7 linked regions of the Cricetulus griseus genome follow. The protein of the gene in region 4 purifies or fractionates together with the protein of the main gene of each other region. This does not show direct contact. Links are inferred from orthologs where the notes say so. Each region holds a gene or a part of one and is shown on either strand. Other genes may lie near its edges. The genes, in order: Eef1a1, Lrrk2, Snw1, Tubb, Hdac6, Rictor and Arl2.

What was found.
Region 1: the proteins of Tubb (region 4) and Eef1a1 fractionate together in Homo sapiens (co-fractionation; 3 studies listed by BioGRID). This does not show direct contact. The link is inferred for Cricetulus griseus from reciprocal best matches to the Homo sapiens genes TUBB and EEF1A1.
Region 2: the proteins of Tubb (region 4) and Lrrk2 purify together in Homo sapiens (co-immunoprecipitation; 5 studies listed by BioGRID and IntAct, with this or other methods). This does not show direct contact. The link is inferred for Cricetulus griseus from reciprocal best matches to the Homo sapiens genes TUBB and LRRK2.
Region 3: the proteins of Tubb (region 4) and Snw1 purify together in Homo sapiens (affinity purification with mass spectrometry; 3 studies listed by BioGRID and IntAct, with this or other methods). This does not show direct contact. The link is inferred for Cricetulus griseus from reciprocal best matches to the Homo sapiens genes TUBB and SNW1.
Region 5: the proteins of Tubb (region 4) and Hdac6 purify together in Homo sapiens (affinity purification with mass spectrometry; 4 studies listed by BioGRID, with this or other methods). This does not show direct contact. The link is inferred for Cricetulus griseus from reciprocal best matches to the Homo sapiens genes TUBB and HDAC6.
Region 6: the proteins of Tubb (region 4) and Rictor purify together in Homo sapiens (affinity purification with mass spectrometry; 3 studies listed by BioGRID and IntAct, with this or other methods). This does not show direct contact. The link is inferred for Cricetulus griseus from reciprocal best matches to the Homo sapiens genes TUBB and RICTOR.
Region 7: the proteins of Tubb (region 4) and Arl2 purify together in Homo sapiens (co-immunoprecipitation; 3 studies listed by BioGRID and IntAct, counting the BioPlex papers as one, with this or other methods). This does not show direct contact. The link is inferred for Cricetulus griseus from reciprocal best matches to the Homo sapiens genes TUBB and ARL2.

Annotation. Positions count from the first base shown.
Region 1 is NC_048597.1:189,545,552-189,549,777, forward strand, and holds the start of Eef1a1 (elongation factor 1-alpha 1), read right to left. Parts: upstream 2,829-4,226; 5' UTR 2,796-2,828; intron 1,852-2,795; 5' UTR 1,818-1,851; coding exon 1,674-1,817; intron 1,563-1,673; coding exon 1,383-1,562; intron 1,304-1,382; coding exon 1,007-1,303; intron 924-1,006; coding exon 773-923; intron 689-772; coding exon 432-688; intron 345-431; coding exon 110-344; intron 22-109; coding exon 1-21. UniProt on the Homo sapiens protein: Translation elongation factor that catalyzes the GTP-dependent binding of aminoacyl-tRNA (aa-tRNA) to the A-site of ribosomes during the elongation phase of protein synthesis.
Region 2 is NC_048595.1:388,196,219-388,199,909, forward strand, and holds part of Lrrk2 (leucine-rich repeat serine/threonine-protein kinase 2), read left to right. Parts: intron 1-252; coding exon 253-362; intron 363-3,691. UniProt on the Homo sapiens protein: Serine/threonine-protein kinase which phosphorylates a broad range of proteins involved in multiple processes such as neuronal plasticity, innate immunity, autophagy, and vesicle trafficking.
Region 3 is NC_048598.1:116,346,161-116,349,851, reverse strand, and holds part of Snw1 (SNW domain-containing protein 1), read right to left. Parts: intron 3,487-3,691; coding exon 3,370-3,486; intron 2,451-3,369; coding exon 2,309-2,450; intron 121-2,308; coding exon 24-120; intron 1-23. UniProt on the Homo sapiens protein: Involved in pre-mRNA splicing as component of the spliceosome. As a component of the minor spliceosome, involved in the splicing of U12-type introns in pre-mRNAs.
Region 4 is NW_023276806.1:229,740,738-229,745,033, forward strand, and holds the start of Tubb (tubulin beta-5 chain), read right to left. Parts: upstream 2,861-4,296; 5' UTR 2,675-2,860; coding exon 2,618-2,674; intron 1,295-2,617; coding exon 1,186-1,294; intron 819-1,185; coding exon 708-818; intron 596-707; coding exon 1-595. UniProt on the Homo sapiens protein: Tubulin is the major constituent of microtubules, a cylinder consisting of laterally associated linear protofilaments composed of alpha- and beta-tubulin heterodimers.
Region 5 is NC_048604.1:114,403,091-114,406,781, reverse strand, and holds part of Hdac6 (histone deacetylase 6), read left to right. Parts: intron 1-960; coding exon 961-1,087; intron 1,088-1,180; coding exon 1,181-1,246; intron 1,247-1,340; coding exon 1,341-1,400; intron 1,401-1,632; coding exon 1,633-1,722; intron 1,723-2,854; coding exon 2,855-2,961; intron 2,962-3,046; coding exon 3,047-3,114; intron 3,115-3,481; coding exon 3,482-3,650; intron 3,651-3,691.
Region 6 is NC_048595.1:340,504,511-340,508,201, reverse strand, and holds part of Rictor (rapamycin-insensitive companion of mTOR), read right to left. Parts: intron 3,505-3,691; coding exon 3,305-3,504; intron 2,934-3,304; coding exon 2,807-2,933; intron 2,679-2,806; exon of another isoform or gene 2,526-2,678; intron 2,324-2,525; coding exon 2,159-2,323; intron 2,000-2,158; coding exon 1,923-1,999; intron 998-1,922; coding exon 919-997; intron 1-918. UniProt on the Homo sapiens protein: Component of the mechanistic target of rapamycin complex 2 (mTORC2), which transduces signals from growth factors to pathways involved in proliferation, cytoskeletal organization, lipogenesis and anabolic output.
Region 7 is NC_048596.1:53,202,262-53,206,287, forward strand, and holds the end of Arl2 (ADP-ribosylation factor-like protein 2), read left to right. Parts: intron 1-73; coding exon 74-236; intron 237-1,571; coding exon 1,572-1,679; intron 1,680-3,043; coding exon 3,044-3,178; 3' UTR 3,179-3,485; downstream 3,486-4,026. UniProt on the Homo sapiens protein: Small GTP-binding protein which cycles between an inactive GDP-bound and an active GTP-bound form, and the rate of cycling is regulated by guanine nucleotide exchange factors (GEF) and GTPase-activating proteins (GAP).

The sequences.
Region 1 (4,226 bases), on a different chromosome or scaffold from region 4:
TGTCACGAACAGCAAAACGACCTACACAGAAACAGTTATGAGCACTTGTTCATACAGCATTTCATATCCAAACAATACTCAGTGCAACAGAAACTTAAGTTCTACTTACCCAGTGGAGGATAGTCAGAGAAGCTCTCAACACACATGGGCTTGCCAGGAACCATATCAACGATGGCTGCATCACCAGATTTCAAGAATTTAGGGCCATCTTCCAGCTTCTTACCAGAACGGCGATCAATCTTCTCCTTAAGCTCAGCAAACTTGCATGCTATGTGAGCTGTGTGACAATCCAGTACAGGAGCATAGCCAGCACTAATTTGGCCTGGATGGTTCAGGATAATCACCTGAAAGAAACAGCATTTGGTTAAATCTTGCCTTCAGGTTTTGCATGCTGCTATCAATATTACACTCTTGACACCTATCTTGTTTACCTGAGCAGTGAAGCCGGCTGCTTCCATTGGTGGGTCATTTTTGCTGTCACCAGCAACGTTGCCACGTCTGACATCTTTGACAGACACGTTCTTTACATTGAAGCCCACATTGTCTCCAGGAAGAGCTTCACTCAAAGCTTCATGGTGCATTTCAACAGACTTTACTTCTGTTGTAACGTTGACTGGAGCAAAGGTAACCACCATTCCAGGTTTTAAAACACCAGTCTCTACTCGGCCCACAGGAACAGTCCCAATACCTAAAAACATTTACAGTATATAAGGTGAAGACAACTGAACACACCTCAAAACATCTTAGTCCAGTGTCCGAATGCTCTACTTACCACCAATTTTATAGACATCCTGGAGGGGCAGTCGCAGTGGCTTGTCAGTGGGACGAGTTGGTGGCAGGATACAATCCAAAGCTTCCAGCAGTGTGGTACCACTGGCACTGCCATCTTTACGGGTGACTTTCCATCCCTTGAACCAAGGCATCTGAAATGCAGAGTAGCCAAATGTTTTATAATCTCTCCCCCCTTACAGCTTTTCCATTTAACCACCTTCTTCAAGTCACTTACATTAGCACTAGGCTCCAGCATGTTGTCACCATTCCAACCAGAAATTGGCACAAATGCTACTGTGTCAGGGTTGTAGCCAATTTTCTTAATGTAGGTGCTGACTTCCTTCACAATTTCCTCGTATCTCTTCTGGCTGTAAGGTGGCTCGGTGGAATCCATTTTGTTAACACCAACAATTAGCTGTTTCACACCCAGGGTGTAAGCCAGAAGGGCATGCTCACGGGTCTGCCCATTCTTGGAGATACCAGCCTCAAATTCACCAACACCAGCAGCAACAATCAGGACAGCACAGTCAGCCTAAGAAAAAGTTACCTCCCGTTAATAACAAAGCTTTCCAGCTGGAGGTAAGGGTCAGAAGGTAGTAAATTTCACAAACCTGAGAAGTGCCAGTAATCATGTTTTTAATAAAGTCTCTGTGTCCTGGGGCATCAATGATGGTCACATAGTATTTGCTGGTCTCAAATTTCCACAGGGAGATGTCAATAGTGATACCACGCTCACGCTCAGCTTTCAGTTTGTCCAAGACCCAGGCATACTTGAAGGAGCCTTTTCCCATCTGTTCAGTGATTCGCAGTTAGTACACTCAAAACATCTAGTTTCTAAATAAACAATTTCCTGCTTACGGTAGATTTCCACCCCCCCCGACCTTTTCCCTTCGAATACTTGCCTCGGCAGCCTCCTTCTCAAACTTTTCGATGGTTCGTTTGTCGATTCCACCACATTTGTAGATCAGGTGGCCGGTTGTGGTGGACTTGCCTGAATCTACGTGTCCAATGACAACGATGTTGATATGAGTCTTTTCCTTTCCCATGTTGGATTTGAATTAGCGGTGGTTTTCACAACACCTTAAAAAAAAAGTTCGAAGAATACCTTTGAACGGCTAAGCAGCTTTGTCAATCAGCTTCGCTCCAAACTCAAAATGGGCAAATTCCAAGAATTACTTCCATGGCCAGGCTGGCCTGGCTACAGTCTCCACCCACCAAATGTGAGCAAACTCCAACGCCATTAGACAGATCCCCTCCCCCAGCGGAGGCCAGCGGTGCTCCGAAAGAGCGCCCGGGGTGACTGAAGTGCGGCCGGTACACCACGGGGTCACAGGAAGCAGCGGCCGGCGAGGGGCAAGGCCCTCTTCCTTTGTGTGGGTGACTCACCCGCCCCGCTCCGCCGGGCTGCCGCGTCCTCCATTTTGAGCTCCTTGCTACAGGGCCCGGGAGCGGCCATCTTTCCGCGCACGCAACTGGTGCCGGGCGGGCGGGCCTCGCCCTCCTCGGAGCTAAGCCACTACGGGGTACTGGCCAGACCGGGCCGGGACCCGGGGCCACCTGAACCCGGCATCTAAAACCCACCGCCCGGCCGCCTTATCAGGACACAGGCCGCTACCCGTCCAGGCGGCGTCGGACATGTGCTGCGGGACGGGCGGGCCCGGTCCCCCCCCCGACTGCTGCCGCTCTCCCTGCCCGACATGCGGACTACGGGGCTCCCTACCAGCCAGCTCCACGCCCTCCCTTTGTTGGCCCGGGCCGCGGGCAGGCAATCGAGGGCAGCCGGGCAGACAGCAAAGCGCGGCCGCGGTGGCACGCGGCGGGGCGGAAGCCACGCTAGGCCTCACGCCCGACACGAGGCGAGGCTCCGGGGCCGCCGCCAGGCCTCCCCCCCTCGCCCTCCCGCACAGCCCGCCATCCAGGGCGGGAACGCTCGCAGAGAAGCCCGGCCGACGACACCCGCACGGCGGCCCGACCCCGCTCAAAGGAGGGAGCCCGGGCCCGCGGAGGCCACACCCGCCACTCACCTGCGTTCTGACGGCAAACCCGTTGCGAAAAAGAACGTCCAACGCGACTACCGCACTTTTATACCGTTCTCCCCCACCCTCGGGAAGAGGGCGGAGCCAGCACACGACACCACTTTCCCAGTTTGCCCCGCGCTGGCTCCCGGGCCCCCGCTCAGCGCGCCCCTCCCCCACCGCCGGGGACTGTGGGCTTGTGCTCTCCCGCCGACCCGCGATCCGCCCTAGGCGCAGGCTCCTCCCGCCGCGCTGGGCGGGCACAGCGGTTCCGGGCTGGGAGGCCGGCCAGAATTTAGCGACGGTCCCTGGGATTCCCAGGGGCGAAGGCGATCCCTCCTTTTGTATGAATTACTCTCGGCTCCAGTCGGGGGTGGGGCGGTGAGGAGCTGGCCAAGAGGGCGTCCAGAATCTGTCCCTACCCTTCCTGACTCCACTGCCAAGGCTGTGTCGAGATCCGGGTGTCCCTTCCCGTGGAGGCCACCTCCCGACGTCAGCCCCGCCATCCCCCTGCTTGTCCCCCGCGGGAGAGGTGCACAATCCTAGGGACCCTTCCCAGCCCCAGAACCTAAGGGCTCAGCTCGGTGGCCGAGAGCTCGACGGATCTGCCCCTGTGCTGGCCTCTTGGTTCATTCCATCCAGCGCCAGCTGCTTCTCTGGAAGCCTGAAGCGCGCTTCACGCCCTGGGAGTTCCGTTCAGAATAATACTTAAGTCCCACAGTTAGCTTTACTTCTGATTCTGGGCTTCTTAAGCTAAAAAAGGATTTTGTGTGTGCGCGCATTGTGTGTGTGTGTGTGTGTGTGTGTATTTGGGTACAGTTATTTGATAGAGCACGAGGAACATGAAAAGAATCTAATCAACTCCACGTGGTCTCATTTAGAGGCCAGCATTAGCAATCTTACTCGCCCAGAGCCCATCCCTGACACTTGTGAAATCAGAGCTTCTCAAAAATGGCTCGTCCTATTATTTAAATGCTTGTCATTCCTACAGTTCCAAGGATCATAACTGCGTTTTGCTGTGGTTCTGATTGTGTGGCTGTTTTGTTTTTGAGACAGTCTCTTTAGCCCTGGGTGCCCTGAAACTCACTAGGTAGACCAGGCTGACCTCAAACTCACAGAGATCCGCCCTGCCTCTGCCTCCTGCGTGCTGGGATTAAAGGCGTGCGCCACCATGCCGGCCCTAGCCTGTTTTCTTTTCTTTTTTTTCTTTTTTTTTTTTTTTTTTTTTGGCCCTGGCCAGTTTTAAATGCCTCTCCGGGCAGGATCTCAGAAGAAAGAAAAACTTCTTTGTTGTTTTGTTTCTTAATGCTAGGGACGGTGAAAAGGTATTTTGTAATGGAATATGGGGTTGTGGAGATGGAACCGAGGGTCTCAGCACACCAGGCAAGCACTCTTATCACTAAGCTACATTTTTAGCCTTAGAGTATTTATTCCTAATAA
Region 2 (3,691 bases), on a different chromosome or scaffold from region 4:
GACTGGATACACAGCTCAGTTGGTAGAATGCTTGCATACCACACAGGAAGCCCTGGGTTCTGTCATCCTCAGCATCGGGTAAACTGGGTGTGGTGGTACATGGCTGTAATTCTAGCATGTTGCATGGAAAAGAGGACTGGAGGAGAGTCAAGGCCATTCATGGCTACAAAATGAGTTCAATACTAGCTTGGGGTATACAGAACACTATCTAAAAAAAAAAAAAAAGTAAGTATTTACCTTTCTTGCTTTCAGGTGGGTTGGTCACTTCTGTGCAAATTAATAGAAGTCTGCCCAGGGACATTGCCGAGCTTAATAGGACCCCAGGATATTGGAAATGATTGGGAGTTCCTCAGAATTCATCAGTAAGTATGACAGATGTGTGGAAATAAACTGCATTGAAGAATTATATATGACACCCTTTGCCATCCAAAACCATTCTGATAAATTCCTTCAAAGCAGATATAGTTTTCTTACATCGATAATTTATATTTATAGAGACCTTTAAACTCAGATTTATGAATTAGAAAACTAAAGTTGATGGATGGTACAATATTAGGTGAGATGACTTACAAACACAGTTCTGTGATTATGTAAATGATTAAATTGTATATCTTTGAGTATGACGTAAGACAAAGCAAGACAAGCTTTTTACTATTAATGGTGGAAATGAGAGAATCCATGAATTCCTTGAAAAACATGGCAACTAAGAAGTTACTTCTGACCAGAGGCCTTGAACAAGACCAGTGACTCTGCAATGAATATTTGCCATTAAGCTGATGGGACAAGGGGGGTGTACTACATAATACACCAGAGCCTCCAGTGTCACCATGGCAAATGAAAAGCTGTTTGAGAGGCAGGAAAGGAGAAGCAAAGAGATTTTTCTGTTGTTGTTTTGTTTTTGTTTTTGTTTTTTTGTTATTGTTGTTTTTGCTTTCATTTGCTTTCTTGCTTACTTTGTGTTATTTTTCTTTTGTGTGTGTGGGGGTGGGCTGCATGGCAGGGATGAAGAAAGGACATCGGGGGACTGGGAGGCAAGCAGAATTGGGGTGCATTATGTGAAACTCCCAAGGAGTCAATAAGAAGTTAAATTAAAAAAAAAGAAGCTACCTCTGTGAGCATTTATTATGCTCTACTGTCTTCATGTGCACATTTGCATGTGTCTGGGCATGCTAATCTCAGTGAAAGTAGACTGTGGCTTGCAAGAGGAAGAGAAAAGAGGAAATGAATTCCCTCTCAACCCTCTGAAGCCTAATCTAGGTGACTATTTATCATCCATTTGGTTGGAGTTCTCAACATAATGTCTTTCATAAGACCACATTCATAACCATAATTAGGTAAAACTTTTTGGAGAAAATTTATAGGAAATGTTCAGAGGAAAATCCTTTTAAAAAATAATGTAGTTTCTGGAGACTTATGAAAGTGTCTTGTCATTAGGTGCCCTCAGACCTAGAGCCACCATGATGAAGATATTATACTCCCAATGTTATGTTACTTGAGAAAAATATATTTTACTAAAAACTGAATTTTATAATCCTTTCAGAAAATTTATATGGGGTAGAACAGTGTGTCTATTCCTAAAGGAGTTATTATAGGCCTTGGTGTTTACATGTTTATCCACTTGTACTATATAGGTGTTGTTAGTTTTTAGTTTCTACCATCTGAAGAGAATGGTTTAGAAAAACAGCCAATTTCAAACTAATTTTGAAATTCCATGTGTCAGTTCTGTAACATTTAATAAAGACCTACCCATGGTATACTTGTAATTAGTCATTCTGATTTTAATGTCCCTTTTGTTTGAGGATTTCCAATTTTCTTCAAGTACAGTTAATCTTCAATATCACTCAGAGACTGTTGGAAATCTCACCTCCTTGTATTCCAGAACAAACCAACCATTTGGGGGGAATTGTGATACTATTTTGATGGGAAATATTCATGTCTTCACTCACAAATTCTCTTGCTTACCACTCAAGTCCAGCCCTCTACCTCCATGGGTTGTCTACACTCCTGCTTTAAGAGAGATCTGAGTTTGTGACCAAGGGAGAAACACTGCTCTCTACACTAGAATATTTTGGGAAAAATTTTGTAAGACGTTTTTCTCTGTAGCCAAGCTTTTCCCCTCCAAAATTGACCAATACCAAAGAGAATTCTGTAGCAGTCATTTGAAGGATGGTGAGCACACATTTTCAGCTCTAGCTGATGCTGTGAACCTGGAAGAGTAGAGCCTAAAAATGAGGCAAAGTCTCATGCAACAATCAACTTTATTCAGAGCATCATTCAATTTATACTCTAATAGTCAAGAAGAGTCACATCAGTATAGTATACAATCACAAGGACCAGCCACACATGGCAAAAATATGTTTTTTTTTTCATGGAGGCAAATAAACAAAGTAAATTCACTCTTTTCTGCTTGCTATACCTGAGAGGGACACAAAAACACACTCCAAGATGAATTCTGTGGTTTTGAAGACACCAAGGTTACAACTCTTGCCCTGTTTGCTTGAAGTTTTCTCACAAGCAATCAGAATTTGCCTTTCATGACTCCATTCTTGGCCTGTGTTCTGACAGAATGCAAGAGGGAGAAGCAGGGACAGAATGGGTAGAGAGATAATTGGCAAGATATCAACAGACCTTCACCTTGCTAGGAGACCAAAGGACATGTTTTGTGAATATAGAAGAGGCTGTGGATAGCACCAGCTCTGTCTTCTTCCAACAACATAAAACAAAATACCACCTGGCAGAAAATGATTAAAGGCTACATATGGAATGGGTAACAGAGATTAAAATCTAGTGAATCTGAGAACAGGTACTATTGATATGAGTTCATTATCTAGTGTGGAATATAACTTTATCAAAGATAGTAGCTAACAATAATTTTAATATTTAAGTAGATCCTGAAGGTTGTGTACAAATGAACGTCTTTATTCAATCTTCCTGTATGTTACTATGTCAACATGCATGACATATAATTCATAAATTCTTATGATGTATCTAAGACATCTCCTCTGGCTATGGATCATCTTCATGGTCCTTTGTGTATTAATGACTAAGTAGGGGCATTTGGAGGAATATAGGTGGGACTTGGCTTCTATCAAGACATAGAATAATACTTCCCTCCTAAGTGTCTTAATTTTTCCATTGTTGTGGGGCAATCCCCAGGCCTTGTATCTGGCAGGCAGGCACTCTGTCACTGAGCTACATGCAAGCATAAACATTTAGGTTTCTACTAAATGTTTCCCTCCAACTTTCCTGAGACATGGTTGATAGCTAGAAAAATGTATGTAGTCAATGCAATTAACTTGTTAATTTGATGCACAGAATCATGTGAAGTTTTTGCCACAATTGATGCAAACAGTATTCCTGGTTATTTCATTTTCTTATTTATATTTTTTGTATTGGTAGAGATTGAAACTGGGGTCTTGGGCATGCTGGGCAAGTGCTCTGCCAAGAGCTACACCACAAGTCAGGATGTTAATTTTATTAGCTTGCTTTTAGTTTGTACCAAGGGAGAATGTATCCCATGAACTTTGATGAACAGAACAAAGTACAGTAAGTATATAGGTGAGTGAGAAACAGTACTTAAATACTGTACGTGCTTTGCCCACATGTGCAGTCAGTGCTTTGTCCACTGGGAAGGCTCCTTGGCTTCTGCTGGATAACCTTTCATTGTCATATGATTTTGCTTTTTATTCTA
Region 3 (3,691 bases), on a different chromosome or scaffold from region 4:
AATTATGCCAAGCATCGACCTACCTCTTATCAGGAGCTGCCCTGGAAAGGTTCCGGTCGTGCTGCCTCTCTTTCCGCCTGTCATGACGGATTTCATCCCTTTCACGTGCTTCTCCATCCTCTGTGAACACAGTTGAAAATTAGATCATCACTGCATTAGCTAGTCATATTTTGCTTAGGAGGCCTTTAACCTTAAAAAATGCCATACTTTTCTATTTTTGAGACAGGGCATCATATGGCCAAGGCTAGCCTCAAACTCTGGATCTTCCTGCTCCCACCTCCCTGCTGCTGGGATTATGGGTGTGCACGACCACTTCTCTGTGGTCACACTCAGCCTTTAAAGGGTTACTTGCAGTCAATTTAAATCCAATCAGTTTGTGTACTCCTATGTCAGCTGCCTTCAACTTATTTGAAATGCACCCAAGAGGTGGAAAGGTGGGCATACAGGTGAAGAAGAAAATTCAGTAATGCTAATTGTTCTTTTGAGACAGGGTTCCTTTGTATAATAGCTCTGGCTGTCCTGGAACTCAAGATCCGACTGCCTCTGTCTCCTGAGTGCTGGGATTAAAGATGTGTGCCACCACCACCTGGCATGCGAATTGTTTTCAAAATTAACCACTGCATCTAGGTGAAGTGAGGCAGGAGTTCATCATGAGTAGTTTTCAGTTCTTCCTTATGTTTGAAAGCTGTCACGATAAAACATAAAGGGCTGACTTGGTAATGTACCTGCTGTCCAATCACGGAGTTTGGATCTCTAGCAGCCAGGTAAAGAGCTGGACATGGTGGGGTGCATGTGATTCTAAAACAGACCTACTCAGCCAACTGGTGAGATTTTGGCTCAAAAATAAAAGTAGAGAGTGACTGAGCAATGTCAATGTCAACCTCTTGCTCCAGCTGAACATGTGCATATAGATATACCCATCAACAGATACACATGCACACCGCACCAGTGGAAGGAAAAAAAGAACCATGTACAGGTTCTTGTTGAAGCCACCAGCCAGCCGAGCAAAATGCATGAGCTCTAAGCAAAGAGACAGTTTAAAAAAATAAGGTGATGTGAATGTGCCTCCTTTGGGAATATGCCCAAAAGTGGTATTGCAGGGTCTTGACCTATGTTGACCCCTAATTTTCTGAGAAATTGCCATACTGATTTCCACAGCAGCTGTACAAGTGTGTGCTCTCCACCAGCAATGGAGGAATGTTCCCCTTTCTCCATATTCTCTCCAGCATAAGCTGTCATTGGTGTTTTTGATGTTAGCCATTCTGATTGGTGTAAGATGGAATCTCAGAGTTGTTTTGATTTGCATTTCCCTGATGACTAAGGATGTTGAACATTTGCTCAACTATGTTCATAGCAACATTATTCGTAGTAGCCAGATCTTGGAAACAACCTAGATGCCCCTCAACTGAAGAATGGATAAAGAAAATGTGGTACATCTACACAATGGAGTACTACTCAGTGGTAAGAAACAATGACATCCTTCTTCAAGTGCTGGACCCTACATACTACAATACTGACCTGTCGGGCAAGATGAGTCCAGGACTATTGTGGGGTTGACCTGTTGCTTTTGAATTGGATCTCTATGAAGTTCCAGGACAGCCAGGCTATGCCAAAAATTTCTTTTTGTTTTCTTTTTGATTTTTTTTTTTTTTTTTTTTCCTGAGATAGGAGTTCTCTGTGTAACAGCCCTAGCTGTCCTGGAACTAGTTCTGTAGACCAGGCTGGCCTCAAACTCACAGAGATACGCCTGTCTCTGCCTCCTAAGAACCGGAATGTGCCACTACTGCCTGGCTAAAAGATTTTTTTAAAAGAAAAAAGTGTAATTGTCCTATAATATCCTGTAGAGACTGGTTCCTCCACCAATACCCCATGTGTACTTTGATGGGTGAATTTTCAAGTCCCTTACATAAAAATGCTACACACACACAATGGACAGTCCATATTTTGTAGGGAATAATGGCAGGAAGAGGCCTGCATAATTTGGATGCAGACACCAACTGCCCAACCTAAATACTTTCAATGTATAACTAGTTCAGTCTGTGGCTGAGCATCCTAGAGATATAGAGAACCAACTGTAGATTGATCAAAACCAAGAATTTCTAGTATACTTCCATATGGAAGATCCATTTCAAATATGTATTTCTTCATTTTTTTCTAGTTCAGCTTAATAAGGAAGAAGTCACATCCCATTTCTACGTTTTTCTGAAATATCTAAATTTTTCTTATACACTCTACTTTTGTATGCTATAAAACATGGAGACATTCTAAAATGAGATACCAAGTAAATTTCAAAATGAGACTGTCGCACCTTTTTCCACATGGGTTTTGATTCCAGCTCTCCTCTCTCTGGCTTTCTGCGCCATTTCTCTAAGTTTCTCTTCATGTTTCTCCTTTTCTTTTTGAGCCATCTTCCTCTCCACTTGGGCTCTCATTTCCACAGCTTCACGAGCCTGTTTAATGAAGTGAAATGTTGAGTGGAACATATCATAGTATAAATATTTACAGCTATATTCAAATTGCCTTCCTGAAGTTTGAGCACCAGTAATCCCAGCAGAGATGATCATCTGAGCCCACAGGTATAAAATCAGACTAGAATCTGCTGGGCATGGTGACACAGGCCATAAACAGTCTGGTCTATACAATGAGTTCTAAGACAGCCAGGGCTATGTACCCTGTCCCAAAAACAAAACAGACAGAACCACAGTGAGAAGCAGTCTCAAAATGTAAGTAAATCAATAAATAAATGTATCTGGACATGGTAATGCATACCTGAAACCTAGAACTCAAGGAGGCTGAGGCAGAAGGATTGCAATGAGTTCCAACATAGCCTGAGCTTGAAACTCAAGATCCTGTCTCAAAATACCAAAACCTACCAAAAATTTAGGTATGACTTCATCTTAAGATGAAACCTTAGTCTACGTCTGAAGACTTTAGTCAGATCCTGTTTTAAAAAACCAAAACCCACCAAAAATTTAAGTATACCTTCACCTTATGGCAAAACCTACACCTCTATCTGAAAGACTTTAGTAAAAAACACATACAAAATAAGAGCCCCCTTACTTGTATGTACGTGTGCACATTAATATAGCACTTCTTTGTAATATCAGTAGCTGATACCATTAGTGCAGCATTTAATCACAATGTTTACCTATCATCTACATTGAAAACGATGTACAACAGTATCTGGCAGTCTCCACAAAATGAGGTCAGCCTAGGAAGCCATCACCACTGCTGGGTGCAGCTCTCTACTGAGTTGTAGCTAGTTCTTGCTGTCATCAGCACACACACAAGTTAGTGTCTCTCTAGGACTAGGGGGAAAAATACGGACTCACAGATACAAGAACGTTTGGCAAACTGTAAACGACCAACCTTCCGATCAGCAATGTATAGCGCTTCAGCCAGTTTGGCAAAATTTTCGTTTATGTGTACAGTCTGAAGTCCTCTTCCATCAGCAGCCAGCCGTTTATCCAGAGGAATTGTGTAACCCTGAAGTGAAAGCAGAAAGTAAGTCAGCTCAGTAGAGCTACAGTCATCACCTAACATTAGCCTAGTGCATACCCAATTTGAGAACCACTCAAATTTCCATTTCTCACACTTCTTACACACTTATGGAAAACAACTAACAATAGGTGCTTTGGGTAGAGGGCCCACTGTTTTAATCATCCTAGTAACCACACAAGGCTGGTAACAG
Region 4 (4,296 bases):
TGGGTGAGTTCAGGCACAGTGAGGGCCCGATACTGCTGGCTCCCACGGCTGGTGAGAGGGGCAAAGCCAGGCATGAAGAAGTGGAGACGTGGGAAGGGGACCATGTTGACCGCCAACTTGCGGAGGTCGGCATTGAGCTGGCCTGGGAAGCGGAGGCAGGTGGTGACCCCGCTCATGGTGGCCGAGACGAGGTGGTTGAGGTCCCCATAGGTCGGCGTGGTGAGCTTGAGAGTGCGGAAGCAGATGTCGTACAGGGCCTCGTTGTCGATGCAGTAGGTCTCGTCGGTGTTCTCCACCAGCTGATGGACAGACAGGGTGGCATTGTAGGGCTCCACCACGGTGTCAGACACTTTGGGTGAGGGTACCACACTGAAGGTATTCATGATTCGGTCGGGATATTCTTCTCGGATCTTGCTGATGAGCAGGGTGCCCATACCAGAACCGGTACCTCCACCCAGCGAGTGGGTCAGCTGGAAGCCCTGCAGGCAGTCACAGCTCTCTGCCTCCTTCCGCACCACGTCCAGGACAGAGTCAACCAGCTCAGCTCCCTCCGTGTAGTGACCCTTAGCCCAGTTGTTGCCTGCCCCAGACTGACCTGGAATGTGGTGAGAAGGGAAAAAAATTACGTCATTATCATTACTAATCTTCACCTTTCACCTCTGGAATCATGCCCTTGGGTACAAAGGAATTCATTCCATGTAACTCACCGAAAACAAAGTTGTCTGGTCTGAAGATCTGGCCAAAAGGACCTGATCGAACGGAGTCCATGGTCCCGGGTTCTAGATCCACCAATATGGCCCGAGGGACATACTTGCCACCTACAGGGATTCAAGTAGAACTGTCAGAGCCCTCTGCAGCGAGGATGAAATCTGGGGTGGGAAATACCACAAACCACTAAACTGCCATTCCAGGCACTGCCACCCGGCGGCAGCAGAGCTAATCTTTGGCCCACTTATGGTGGGTGTCTAATGGAAAAGGGTGAGACCCCAGCAACCGGGTTAACAGGCACTTAACGTGGGAAAACAGGGCGTGGTGCGGCCGCCTTTAAAAGCAGCATTAGGGAGGTAAGTTCCAGGGCAGCCATGGCTGCATAACGAGACCCTGTCTCAACAGAAGGGCGCAGGGTTTAAAAAGACCAGGGATAAGTGTTAACAGAGAAAAAAGAAGCTGGATTCCCTCCCTCACCTGTGGCTTCATTGTAGTACACAGAGATTCGGTCCAGCTGCAGGTCGCTGTCTCCATGGTAGGTGCCGGTGGGGTCGATGCCGTGTTCATCGCTGATCACCTCCCAGAACTAGACAGAGCAATGAGCAATGAGCCAGGCCTCAATGGCTGAAGTCCTAAGGGATGCCTCCCCGCCCGCATTTCAACTCTAGACGTGCTCAAACGAGGCGGACGGGTTGATACTGCAATTCCGTTATCTGCCTGCCGAGCCTCCACGACCGAACCTCCAACCGGGGAAGGTCGCCACCTTTGTGGCCCTGGTCAAGTGATGGACAGTTCAAGGGGCTGAGGGTTGCAAGCACCCATATGGGCTGACTGAACTGCCATCCGCCCCCTCGGCTCAGCACCCAGCCAAGCGCTTCAGGGTGGGCACCGCCCCTCCAGGCCAGCACAAAAGAGGGATGGGGTAGGAAGGTGCGGCCACTGCAGTCGCCCACCCCTTACGCGTTCCACGTGACTGCGGTGGCGGGCCGCTCTTCCAGCAGCCCACAAAGGCGGGAGCAGCGTGGGCGGGGCCTGGCACGAGGGGCGGGGCCAGCGCGCCCCCGCCAGCAAGGGCTGCATTGTCCCTGCGCGCCAGGGGCGCTAGCCCCGCCCCCAAAGGGTCCCACCCTTCGGCTACAATCTAGCGGCCGCACTTCCTCCTCTCCACCCATCCCCCGCTACATTGTAATTGCGCGCAAAAAAAAAAGAGAAAACCATGGCCTCAGATTTTTTTTTTTTTGCTTTTGCTACCTTCTCTTCCCTAAATAGCTTTCCCCCAAACACACACATAGTCCCGAGGGACCTCTTATAGACACACAAACCTCTCACTTTCCCATCAGGTCACACCCTAAGATTTCTTAACGGCAATGAAGTAAAAGGAGCCCCCCGCACGGAATCATCACCATCCACCTAAAAGCGAGCCAGGGGATGGCGAGATCGCGAGGGTCTCCAAGCCTTTGTCGAGCGGTGATGCGGCCCGGAGACCTCTGCAGCTGCCCGCCCAACCTCTCCCCTGCCCCCGCCAGTCCTGCTCCGCTAAGGCCCTCCAGGCTGGGTGGGGGTGGCGCAAGGGGAAAACCTCGCTTCGGCTTTGTCTCGGATCGTTTCCGCATCTCTCCTCTCCCGTTCTCGAACCGTTAGAAATCCCCTCTTTTAGATAAGCACTCCAGTCCCTCCTCAGACTCTCCGTCCCCTAAACCCAGGCGTCTCTTTTAATGGCTTTCGGAAAATGTGCCAAGATAAATATTTCTCAGAACGCAAGCTACAAATATGGGTTATAATTGTTCGCGCAGAACTTTGAGGGGCCAAAGCCGGCGGAGGGAGAATGCTAACACCCGGTAACATTAATCATGATTAACCTGGATTTCTCATCCTCACGCGTATCCGGTACCAATTTAAAAATTCTTACCTTAGCACCGATCTGGTTGCCACATTGGCCGGCCTGGATGTGCACGATTTCCCTCATGGCTACGGTTTACTGTAATAAATTTGTGCTGGCTTCAAGGTAGGTACCGAGCAAGAAAAGATAATTGGTTCTTTTTTTTTTTTTTTTTTTTTTTTTTGGCTGGTCTCAGGCTGAAGGGATGGAACGTGGCTCCGGAGGCTGCAGCAGAGAGATGCGAGCACGACCGCAGGAAGGTTCTAAGAGGCAGAAGAGGCCGGCGAGCGCAGGAGGGAAGGCGCGCAGGGCGGGGCGCGCGTTCGCGCAGCCGGGGGCGGGAGATAGGCGGGAGCCCCTGGTCGCAGACAAAGCCTCTCCAGCCTGCCGCTGATTAGATCCGCCGATCACGTGCCAGCCGACCATTGGTCTGTGAGCCAGTGGCGAGCGCAGTCCTTTTTGGGAGTTGTAGTTCTCTATTGTCCACGCTGCAATATGAAGTTAGGCATGGGTGGATACTGTGGGAGGTTTAGTGGGTACCTTTCGTGTGGGTGTGATTGTATTTATTTTTAATGGAAAGTGACCTCGCACGAGATTCCTATCCTCTGTTCCTGAGAGAGGTTTTTGTGCTCTAAGAAGTTTTGGGACTTAACGGTAATTGGGATGTCTGAGGTGCCCTGAATTGGAGATGGGATGGGCGCGCCCTGCAAGCTGCCCACCGCAGTGGCTCTGGTAAAGGCGGACTGCATAGCTCAGCGGAAAGTCCGGAGAAATGTGGCACCCTGCCCTGATCTTACTATCTAGTTCTTTGTGGTCCCAAGACAGTAACTTCAGTGAGCAGCACTCCCTCGCATCCCTCCAGAAGAAAGGATGGCCCTCCGGCTCCTAAGGGAGTTGTCCCAAGGATGTTTCGAGAGAGAAACAAAATTGCAAGGATTTTTCAGACTAGAAGTGTTGCTTGGGACCGATGTTCAGAGAGAGAGAGAAAGCTGTAAACCTCGGCGGCGGGGGTGGGGTGGGGTTGGGCCTTTGGGACCACGCTGAAGACACCATGGTCGTCCTATCAATACAGACGATGAAATGGGATGCTTCTCAAGACACTTGGGTGAAGGAAGCCAAGTGGTCGTTTTCAGTTGGTTGGTTCTATTCGTTACGGGAGGCTGTGGCAGAGTCCAGGAACTGAGAAATGGGAGTCAGAGCCCAGAAGCTTTTCCCAGGGTTTCATTTGATAGAAACTGAGTATCCTGAAAGTGTAAGAGGGATACAAAATGATTCTAAGAGTCAGCAGGGGTGGTTCACACGGTTAACACCTGCTTTGTAACTCCAAGGCAGGAAGATCTCAGGAAGTACAAGGTCAATTGGGCTACTTAAGAGAGTTCCTGTACAGCCCGAGGTACAGCTTTAGACCCAGTTTCAGAATAAATAAATAATAAATAAATGAGTGGAAAATTAGTTTGTGTCCAACCTCCCACACAGTAGGATGGTTGAGGCAGAAGGATTCTTGTACGCTGAAGGCTAACCTGGTCTACAAAGTGAGAGCCTGTCTTGAAAACAAACCACACACGGGGCTGGAGAGATGACTCGGCAATTAAGAGCATTTGTCCTCGGAAAAAGAGCCAGGTTCGATTCCCATCACTATTTAAGGCTTTCCACTATGGGTAAGTCCTGTTCCAGGGAGCCCGGCACCCCCTTCCGCCCTCGGCAGGCAT
Region 5 (3,691 bases), on a different chromosome or scaffold from region 4:
CTCAGCCCTACGGGCACTTTCTCACCTATGAAATACAAGTGGTAGAGGTGGCTTTGTGATATATTAAGGAAAAAAGAATGTCCTTACTGACTTTATGGCAGCCTTAGATAGCATCTTTTACTTTAGCTTTACACACAAAACCACGCCCCATCTTCCCTCATTCCTGGCCTTCTGCATCTCTCCACCTCTTTCAGTGGAATCACTAAGTTCCCCAGCATGGACTGGAGGCTCTTTGCAGCCCTAGCTGGCTTCTGCAGATAAGTTCCCCCAAGACTCCCATGAACCTCCAGTATTCAGTGTTGTTATTACCTTGGGATAATAACAGTGGCAGGAGTGATTAGAAGACATGACCTAGAGTTTCTCACAGGGTCATCATTGCCCAGGTTCTTGGGTTGACTCAGTAGCTCTTGAGACCTTAGACTTGAGTCTGAAATTGGGTGGACACTGAAGAGGCAGCAATATTTACTGACAGAAATTCTGGTGGGAGATCAGTCAATGTGTAGGAAAAATGGGTGAACCACGGGGGGTTAATGAATGGGGAAATGAATAAGTTGGTAAATGAATGGAAGGGTAAACTAATGCAAGACTTGAGAGTATAGATTGAAGCCGGGCGTTGGTGGCACATGCCTTTAATCCCAGCACTTGGGAGGCAGAGGCAGGTGGATCTCTGAGTTCGAGACCAGTCTGGTCTACAAGAGCGAGTGCCAGGACAACCTCCAAAGTTCCACAGAGAAACCCTGTCTCCAAAAACAAAACAAAACAAAAAAGTACAGATTGAAAATTGGAAAAACTTAGAGAATGAATTGAGTAGTTGGTAAAATCACCTTGTTGAATTAAACCCTGTAGCTGTAGGTTGGAGGCCTTAAGTTTGACTCTTCAATTTCCTTATTTTTTTCTATGCTGGAGATTGAGTTTCCACATGCTATGCAACCTCTCAACATTTCTTTTCTCTGCCTCTAGTGTCCTCTATTTCTCCATCCACCGCTATGAGCAGGGTCGGTTCTGGCCCCACCTTAAGGCTTCTAACTGGTCCACTACAGGTTTTGGCCAAGGCCAGGGATATACTATCAATGTACCTTGGAACCAGGTCAGTGTCTTCCCACCTGAAGTGAGCCTAGCCCTGCCCTCCCACCGACTCAAGAAAGGTGCCTGACTGTCCATCGTGTTTCTGTGTCTGCAGGTGGGGATGCGGGATGCTGACTACATTGCTGCTTTTCTGCACATCCTGCTGCCAGTTGCCTTTGAGGTCTTGGAGATCCAGGAAATTTAGGGGTGAGGGGCAACACTGAGGGATGACCTGTGAAGGAGGGTGTTCTCACATAGTCTGTTCCCTTCCTCAGTTTCAGCCTCAACTGGTCCTGGTGGCTGCTGGATTTGATGCCCTCCAAGGAGACCCCAAGGTAAGGCAGGTTCTCGGGTTTTAGGTAGGCAAAGGGGAGTACACTGGCCGGGTGTTGGTGGTGCACGCCTTTAATCCCAGCACTCGGGAGGCAGAGGCAGGCGGATCTCTGAGTTCGAGGCCAGCCTGGTCTCCAGAGCGAGTGCCAGGATAGGCTCCAAAGCTACACAGAGAAACCCTGTCTTGAAAAACCAAAAAAAGGGGGGAGTACACTGAGCTTTGTGTTCCTGCAGGGAGAGATGGCCGCCACTCCAGCAGGCTTTGCCCACCTAACCCATTTCCTCATGGGTCTGGCAGGAGGCAAGGTGATTTTGTCTCTGGAGGTGAGTAACTCACTTTTATCAAACTCTAGATCCTAAAGGGCTTAGAATTTTTATATTTGTTTATTCATTGTTTGTATGTACATGCACATACGCTATGCACATGTACCATGATGTATGTGGTCAGAAGACAACTGTGGGAGTTGGTTCTCTCCTTCCACCATGTAGATTCTTTTGGGGGATTGAACTTCGGTTATCAGGCTTGGTGGCAAGCCCTCTTATCCTCTGATCCAACTCACTGGCCCACTTGGAGGCTCAAGAACAGATCTTTTGGGCCTTGGGGATGGAGTTAAAAGGTAGAATGCCACAGGCGGTGGTGGCGCATGCCTTTAGTCCCAACGCTCAGGAGGCAGAGGCAGGCGGATCTCTGTGGGTTCAAGGCCAGCCTGGTCTACAAGAGCTAGTTCCAGGACAGCCTCCAAAGCTACACAGAGAAACCCTGTCTCGAAAAACCAAAAAAAAAAAAAAAAGGTAGAATGCTTAGCTAATATATAATATATGTAAGGGCTTCCATTCTTAGGACCACTGAAAACAAAACAAGAGCTTTCATGTATATAAGAAGTTCCTGGGGGCCAAAGAGATGCCTAGTGGTTGAGAGCACTTGCTGCTTTTACAGAGGACCTGGGTTCGATTCCCAGCATGGTGTCTTGCAAGTAGGCACATGTGTGGTACACATATACACATGCAGGCAAAACATTCATAATCATAAAGTTAATTGATTCTCAATTTTTTTTTGTTTGTTTTTCAAGACAGGGTTTCTCTGTGTAGCTTTGGAGCCTATCCTGGCACTCGCTCTGGAGACCAGGCTGGCCTCGAACTCACAGAGATCTTCTTGCCTCTGCCTCCTGAGTACTGGGATTAAAGGCAGGTGCCACCAACGCCTGGCCAATTCTCAAAAAAATTTTAATGTGCTTTTTTTTGTAAAGTTGTTCCTTGCTTGGCCTTACTTCTCCATAATTCCTTGGTGCCTCTGCTAATCACTTTACATCATTGTCCAGTAAATTAAATGATGTCACCATCTAGATTTCTTGTTGTTTGACATATAGTATGCACCCAAATATTGTTACTGTTATCAGTATCCTTCCCTGTTAATATATGGCCCTCTGCTTGCCTCCCCCAACAACTCCTTCCCCAGGGTGGCTATAACCTCCATGCCCTGGCTAAGGGTGTCAGTGCATCACTCCACACTCTTCTTGGAGACCCTTGCCCCATGCTGGAGTCCCCTGGTGCACCTTGTGCAAGGTAAGCCTGGGGGAAATGGGAAAGGAGAGCTCTTATTGCCTGCCTGGGGGCCGTTTCATCACATTTCTGCTTCCCTCACCCCCAGTGCCCAGACTTCAATCTCCTGCACGCTAGAAGCCCTTGAACCCTTCTGGGAGATCCTTGTGAAATCAGGTAGGAGGTGGGGGATGGGCAAAATCAGCATCAGACATGGAATAAGCTATTAGGAATATTCCCTTCCAGAACCCTTCTTTTTTGGTTTTTTGAGACAGGGTTCCTCTGTGTAGCTTTGGAGGCTGTCCTGGAACTAGCTCTTGTAGACCAGGCTGGCCTCGAGCTCACAGAGATCCACCTGCCTCTGCCTCCCTTGGACTAAAGCATGCGCCACCACCACCCGGCACCAGATCCCTTCTTGCTTTCCTGGGATGCCTTGGTGGGGATGGCTGTGTGGGTTTTAGGCCTTTTGTCTGGGCCACATTTGTCTCGAAATATGATGGGATCCAGATTCAGCAAGTAGGGTAATCTGAGCCCCTCTTTATAGTCGAGCCCCAGGAGGAAGATGAAGTAGAGGAAGACAGGGTGGAAGAAGAATATGAGGAAGATCGCTGGGAGGCTGCTGGACTGCCAATGGATACATGGCCAGTGCTACAGGATCGCACTGGGCTGGTCTATGATGAAAAGATGATGAGTCACTGCAACCTATGGGACAAGTATGTAGTCAGAGGGCTGGAATGAGTTCTGGGATCACTCA
Region 6 (3,691 bases), on a different chromosome or scaffold from region 4:
TTTTCAGCCTTCCTCATTCGGAAAATTTTATTTTAGCATAGAAGGGCTAAAGCAAAGCCAGTCTGTATAAGGGAACCAAGAACAAAACAATTGGTGGTTATTTGGGTCTAAGAAATCACAGTAGAAAAACAGACAATCAAGGTTAAATTCCATAGAGTGCAATCAAAATAAATAGAGACAACAAAATGGCTCATGTAAAGGTCCTTGCTGCCAAGCCTGATGATCTGAGTTTAATTCCTAAGATCTACAGGATGGAAGGAGAGGACCAATTCCCATAAGTTGTCCTCTGATGTCCATGTGCCTGCCATGACATGCATGACCACACATAAAAATCAATCAGCCAATCAATCTAGCATTGAAAAAAACAAACACACTACAATTAGGAAGTAGGTAAGTATACATGTATGAGTATAAAATTGATAGAATTTAGCATTACACATTTGTGGTAGTTTGAATACATATGGCCCCCATAGACTCATGCTTGGCCCAGAGGGAGTGGAACTATTAGGAGGTGTGGCCTTGTTGGAGTAGGTGTGGCCTTGTCAGAGGAAGTGTGTCACTGTGTGGGTAGGCTCTGAGGTCTCATATGTTCAAGCTATGCCCAGTCTGGGACAGAGTTGCTTCTGCTGCCTGCAGACTCTCAGCTCCTTCACCAGGACCATTTCTGACTGTACACTGACATGTCCCACCATGATGATAACAGAGTACACCTTTGATACTGTCAGCCAGCCCCAATTAATTTTCCTTATAAGAGTTGTTGTGGTCAAGGTGTCTCTTCATAGCAATAAAGACCCTAAGACAATATGAAGTATTTGTTTTTGTCTGGTTTTAGATAAGGTTTCATGTAGTTCACAGTGGTTTGAATTTCCAAAGAAAAAATAAATACCAATTAAATCTTATTATTGAATGAGAAGTTACCTTGTGCCATTTTTCCAATTGTTTTGCTACATAACCCCTTTCATTCAGGTAGGAAAATCCTTTTGGAATGGAGAGAAATCTGTAAATTAGAAAAATCATAGCTGAACACTGAGTCTAAAAAAAAAGAAAAGATCTAAAGTAACAAAGAATATGCTTAGGAAACAAACAGAGCTTGGAATATTTCCCTGCCTAAAATAAAAAGGTTAACTGTAATTTACTCAAATTTCAAACACTAGGACTTCTGTTTCTCCCTACATCTGACGGTTGTACAAATAAAACGACCGGTGCATTTTTGGGATGGCTTTTAGATAGACATGCTGAAGGAATACCCTGACCACCACTCCTGATGCTCCTCCCCTTTCAGTTGGAAGAAGCCACATCAGCCATCATCCAAACCCATCACTGGCTCTCAGGCCCATAGCACTGCAACCATGCAGCTTGTGCATCTATGCAATTCAGAAATCTCATGTTTCCCTTTTTTCTTTTTCTTTCCTAAGTATGCTTTCCTTAAAACTTGTGTGTTTCCTCAGCATTCTGGGTTTCCTCACTCCTTCTCTGACATTTCCCTCCCTACCATGTTGCTGCTTGTTTGCCACGAATCTGATCTCCATGTCAGATTAAGGTATGGCCTTTTATCCTTCTCTCCTCCACTGTCTTCCTCTGGGCAGCTGTTGAGGTTTTATAGTTTGTCTGCCCTGGGATTTTTGTCTTTTAAATTCTAACAACATTGTCCTTGACCTTCCATTTTTCAATTGCAGACAAACTTTTCAATTGCAGACAATTGCAGACTGAGCCCAACAAAAATATAGAAAACTTCATGAAAAAACATGAGAGGAATATTAACCATAAGCACACAAACAAAAACTAGCTCAATTCTAAAATAGGCATGGTTCAGAATTTTAAAATAAATTCACAGTATTTCCTAGTCAGATTTGGATCTACTAATACACATAGCCAAGAAGGCACAATAAAGAATATCACAAGGAAATGTACTTAATACTTACCTCAGGAGGAGAAGCAAGCCTTTGTCTCCAAGGTGGGATAAGGCTGGTTTCATCTGAATAAGAGCATGAAGATTGGCCTAAAGGGATGATCAAGTTAATAATTATGTAATGACACCATATTCTCTGTTTCAAAATGCTTATTCATGCTGTACTTTTTTAACATTGCCAAATAAAAAGTATTTGAATAAAATTCAGCCTAAATGTTTCATTATATCAACAAAACAGCTCAAATTTACCTTGTCTTCACAAGCTTCATCAAGGATATCCAGAGCTTCAGAAGAAATTGTTTTGTTTTTATCATGTAGCTGAGTCACTAGTAACTCAATTCCCCAATTGTTGAAGAATTCAACATTAGCTCTCAATAAAACCCTTAAATGCTTTGTTGCATACAGTCTGCAGGCCTAGAGAGATAAAGGAGCACATTAAAAGTCATCATAGATATTTAGTATTGTCCTGAAAAAGCCCTTTTACTTACAAAGGCAGAAGGACTGGAGTTGAGGATATAGTTAGTATGTGATACAAATATTCCCTTTCTAGCTAGCAGCTCCATCCTTATGACTTAAAAGGGTTCAATAAGTTCTTCTGAGACAGTAAAAAATGTACTAAGAGAATATGTGAGTGTAATCCTCAACTATCATAAATTATGTATCAAACTTCCTGTATTCTGAGAAATCACAGGGGTTGGCATATGTGGAGTAGGATGGACCCTGGAAAACCATTTTTGTGGTCACAGAACATCCCTTGTCAGGTAAGTACAGCAACTAAAATGAAGGTTGACTCAACTTCCACCCCATATTCTTAGTTTACTTAGACTAAAAATTGTAGTGACTTAGCCTTAAATTACTGGTTAGAAACTACAGCTTTATCTCCCATGTTATACTCACATCAGTAGCTGCCGTGAGGATTTTTGAAAGAATGACTCTAGCTAATCCATCTCTGCTATAGTCGAGGCTAGAAACAGTGAGTTTCAGCAGGTGATCTTGGTTTTTCAAAGAGCAAAGATTAAGAAGACTAAAAAAGAAGAGTTATTATAAATCATTGTGTTGATTCATTAATTCAATACATTTTTCTCCAGTTCAATTGAAATATGACTGCCAAACAGAAAATTAAGCACATTCAAAGCAGACAACCTGATTAGATACACAGCTACCCATTAGGTGATACATTCAATAATGAATCCATTAGCACAGATGATTACTATTTTAGAAAATGGGCAGGGGAAAACAATTCAACGTATATTTTAAAAATCCTATATAAATAAATATTTCTGAGAAAAAGTATTTACCAAACACATGTACACAGATTACAAAGCATATTGTGTATCTGGACTCATTAAAACTAAAGTTTAGGTTTACATTTCAACAAAATGTGAGAATGCTCACCATTGAAAGACACTACATTTTTCCAGCATTTTCACACCATGAGGATGACAAGAAAGTGTTCCAATAAATAAGAAGTAGTGTTGACTAAGGGTGGTCAGTAAACCATTATTCTGAAGGCTTCTTTCAGGTTTCATCCCAGATGAAGCATTGAGCCACTGAACAATATCTTTCACGAGATCTTCCAAGTATCCCTGCCCATCCTGCAATTAGAAAGTCATCTCTAATAGTCATAAAAATCTTAGTGAAGGCTGGGGGGGGGTGGGGTGCATGCCTTTAATCCCAGCACTCAGGAGGCAGAGGCAGGCGAATCTCTGTGAGTTCGAGACCAGCCTAGTCTACAAGAGCTAGTTCCAGGACAGCCTCCACAGAGAAACACCCCCCTCCCCC
Region 7 (4,026 bases), on a different chromosome or scaffold from region 4:
GGCCACTGGGGGGGGGGGGGGGAAGGCACAGTGGGCAGGACCAGCCTGACCTTCATTGTCCCTTCCTTCCCAGATTCAAACTGAACATCTGGGATGTGGGTGGCCAGAAGTCTCTACGCTCCTACTGGCGGAACTACTTTGAGAGCACAGATGGCCTCATCTGGGTTGTGGACAGCGCCGACCGCCAGCGCATGCAGGACTGTCAGCGTGAGCTGCAGAGCCTGCTGGTGGAGGAGGTGTGCCCTGGGTTTCCACCTGCAACCAAGCCAGAGACCTCTCACATGGGCCATGATTCACCAGGACACTTGGGGAGGGAGGAGGTCCCTTCCTTCTGGGCCCTGGGTTGAGACCTAGACTCACATCTCTTTGGTTTTACTGATTCACCACCCTGAGTTTCAGTCCCATCACTGCAGGAGCTGCCTCAAGACCAGGGCAGGGGGTGAAGCTCAGGGAGCGAATGAAGCTTGTATAGGAATCTTAACTGTGCTGTGTGGCTTTAGGAAAATACATAGCCTACCTGAGCCTCAACTTCCACATCCCTAAAGTTATAATTAGGCTAATGTTGACATTTGTTGTCTGGACCAAAACATGTTTTTTGTTTTGTTGACACAGGGCTTGTTCAACCATCAGAAGCTGGACTTGATCTCCTGATCTACTAGCTTCTACTTCCCAAATAATTGGGATTATTGATCTGTGCTGTGCCGCCATACTCCATTATTAGCTATTTATTTTGGCAGAGTTGATTTTTGGGGGGCGGTGGTGGTGATGAGATCATGTTCCCCTATGTAGCCCAGGCTAGCTCCAAACTCTCCATCTTCTGCCTTAGCTTCCTGAGTGCAAGGATTACAGTTGGACACTACTAAACCATGCTCAACAATTGCCATTATCTTAAGCTACAAGTTTTATTTGGTTTGGATACTGCCATTTCTCCATTAATGTGTGCTGTCTGTCTCAGGACTTTCATAATGCTGCCACGGTTAGGTGAAGGCCAGTGCACCGAAATGAATGAGACTGTAAGGCTAACAGACACATGCCACCAGCATGAGTGCGGCCCCCTCTGGAGTATTGAACAGGTCTAGAGAGGTTACTTTTGTTGGAGGCTAAGCCAAGGCCCAGCAGGGCTAGGCCCAGAAGTTAGATTTCTCTTTGCACATAGAGAGGTTCCAGTTGCAAACACACCAATGGCAATAAGTAGAGAAAAAGGCCAACAGGGCAGTCCACTGGGAGTACAATTTAAGGGTTCTGTGAACTGGGAGGAAGGGCAGGTGGATTTACCCTAAAGTCCCCAGGGCAGCCCGCAGCATGCTTATGCTTTCTGCACATGGTCAGAGCTATAGAGGGCTCAGGGATCATTGTGAGCAACACCCTCTCCCTGATTATGGGAGAGGAAACTGAGGCATGGAGGGCAGAGATGCCCACTGGGTGGTAGCTAGTTTCTGCACCTCTGTCTGCTTTGCTATCCCACCTGGGGCTCCCCGACAACCATGGGGCCCTGCTCCTGACCCTGCATGCTGACCAATGACCCCATGGCTTGCAGAGAAGGGATCGGGCTATACTCTAAGCCTCCCCAGCCCCAGCCCCATCTTGTCTTTCCCCAGCGCCTGGCTGGAGCAACCCTCCTCATCTTCGCAAACAAGCAGGACCTGCCTGGAGCACTGTCCTCTAACGCTATTCAGGAGGTGAGTCAAGCTCTGGTGCAAGCGTATGGAGTAAAACTGAAGGGTTATTAGTACTTTATTATCATTTTGGTTTTCCGAGACAAGGTTTCTCTGTAGCTTTGGAGGCTGTCCTGGAACTCACTCTGTAGACAAGGCTGGCTTCAGACTCACAGAGATCCGCCTGCCTCTGCCTCCCGAGTTCTGGGATTAAAGGCGTGTGCCGCCACCACCCGGTGTGCTTTATTATTTTTGGTTTTTTGAAACTGAGTTTCAGCAGCCCTGGCAGGTCTTAGACTTACTAGGATGCTAAGGAGCCTCTGAACCGTTCATCTTCCTGCCTCCACCTGGAGAGCACTTGGGATTAAGTTGTGAACCACACTGTCAGTTTCTGTGGTGCTGCTGTTTGTTCCCAGAGCCTTGTGCATGCTAGGCAAGCACTTTACTAATTGAGCCACATCCCCAAGCCCAGTCTTTTTTTTATTTTTTTATTTTTTTTTAAGCCCAGTCTTTTTTTTACTTACTTTTGAGACAGGGTTTCTGTATCCTAGGCTGACCTAGAACACACTATGTAGCCCAGGCTGGTCTCAAACTCAAGCAGTCCTCCTGCCTGAAGCTTTAAGGGTGTACCTCCATGTCTGGCTAATAATTGGTTTAAAAGCATGTATTAGCTCCTGCTGTGGGGCAAGATGTAGGCAGGGCACCCAGAATTTGATGATTAATAAGGTAGACTGGCCCCCAGTCTAGAAGCAGGCAGACCTGTAAATAGATCACTTCACAGGGTTCTAGCAGCCAGCCTGCAATGAGCGCTTCCCATCGCAATGCTGTCTGTGTGGATTCACATTATTCTTCGTTTATACAACAATCTCATGGGGGAGAAATGACTGTCACCATACAAAAGGTGCAGGAGACACAGAATAAGTAACCTCCCCAATGTCACATAGTAAGTAAACAAGCCAGGACTGTGCTTCATGCTGACCTAGCCCTGGAGCCATGGCTGCATCTAGCAGGCTTAGAATCTTGGTTTTTGTTTGAGACAGGTTTCATGTAGCCCCTCCTGCCTCCACCTCCCATGTCCTGCACTATAGGTGTGCACCACCATACCTTAACTAGCTGTGCGATGTGGAAGGTTGCAGAGCCTGAGTTTGTATTCCTTCCTTGGTAAAGTGGACCATGGTATCTATCTATCCATGGATCAGGAGGCCTTAGCAAGAGACAGATGACATCTGTGGTCCCTGCAAAATGCCTGGCTCCTAGCAGACACTCAGCAGCCCATGTTGACTTTATGTCACTGACGGTGGCACTGGTGTGCAGCTAGAGTCTCCCATTGGGTGACTGGGAAAGGACAGGCTAAGACCTGCTGGTTCCACAAGTCCTTTTGTCCCCAGGCCCTGGACCTGGCCTCCATCCGCAGCCATCACTGGCGCATCCAGGGCTGCAGTGCTGTCACCGGAGAGGACCTGCTGCCTGGCATCGACTGGCTCCTTGATGACATTTCCAGTCGTGTCTTTACTGCTGACTGAGCTTCTTCAGTGTCCCCTGCACACTGTCCAGGTCCCTACCCCTCATCAGACTCCAGCTGGGGGGGACAGACACCAGCCGACCAGACTAACACTCCCAACCCCGCCGTGACCTGCTGCTGCTACTGCTGCCCACTGCTGCTCCCCATCCCTATGCGAGGGCTGTCACCCCGGCTCCTGAAGTGACCTGCAGCTGCCATGCCAAAAGGAAAGGCTGGACTGGGAGGGACTACCCGCTGCTACCAAGGTCCTGGATGTCACCTCTGTCCAGCAGAGAGAATAAAGCACTCCTTTCCTGGTTCCTGGTTGAGCCATTTGTGTATCACTGACTCTGGCCCTCACCTGGAATGCTTGAATCCAGAAGGGAGAGATCAGAGCAGAGGTATACCTGTGGTTTTATTAGAGGAATGTGCAGAGCATGGAAGCTCAAGACAGGAATAGCTGGTTCCGTCTTCAAGAGACCAATAGACTTTCTGGAGGTTACATTAAAACAGGAATCAGGGAGGAAGAGAAAGGTTTGAGAAGAAGGTGTCGGCAGATCCCTAGAGAAACACCTGCCTTCATCAGTATAAATTACAAAAAAACAGACTCGTTCCCCACCCCAGCCTGGGGCTCACAGGTAGTTTAAATTCAGTTCCTAGCTTGACAGTGCAACCAGCAAAACTTGTGCAGTGGGCAACTTGCATAGCTAAAGAAGGACGGATCAGACAGATATTCCTAACAGGTTGAGTTGTTCAGAAAGTGGGAAGATGGGTAGCTATATCATTCAGGGATGACTACAACTAGCAGGGCCTCAACCGCCTAGCCAAACTGTCTTCAGTCACAAATGGCTCTACCAAGAGCTACCCACA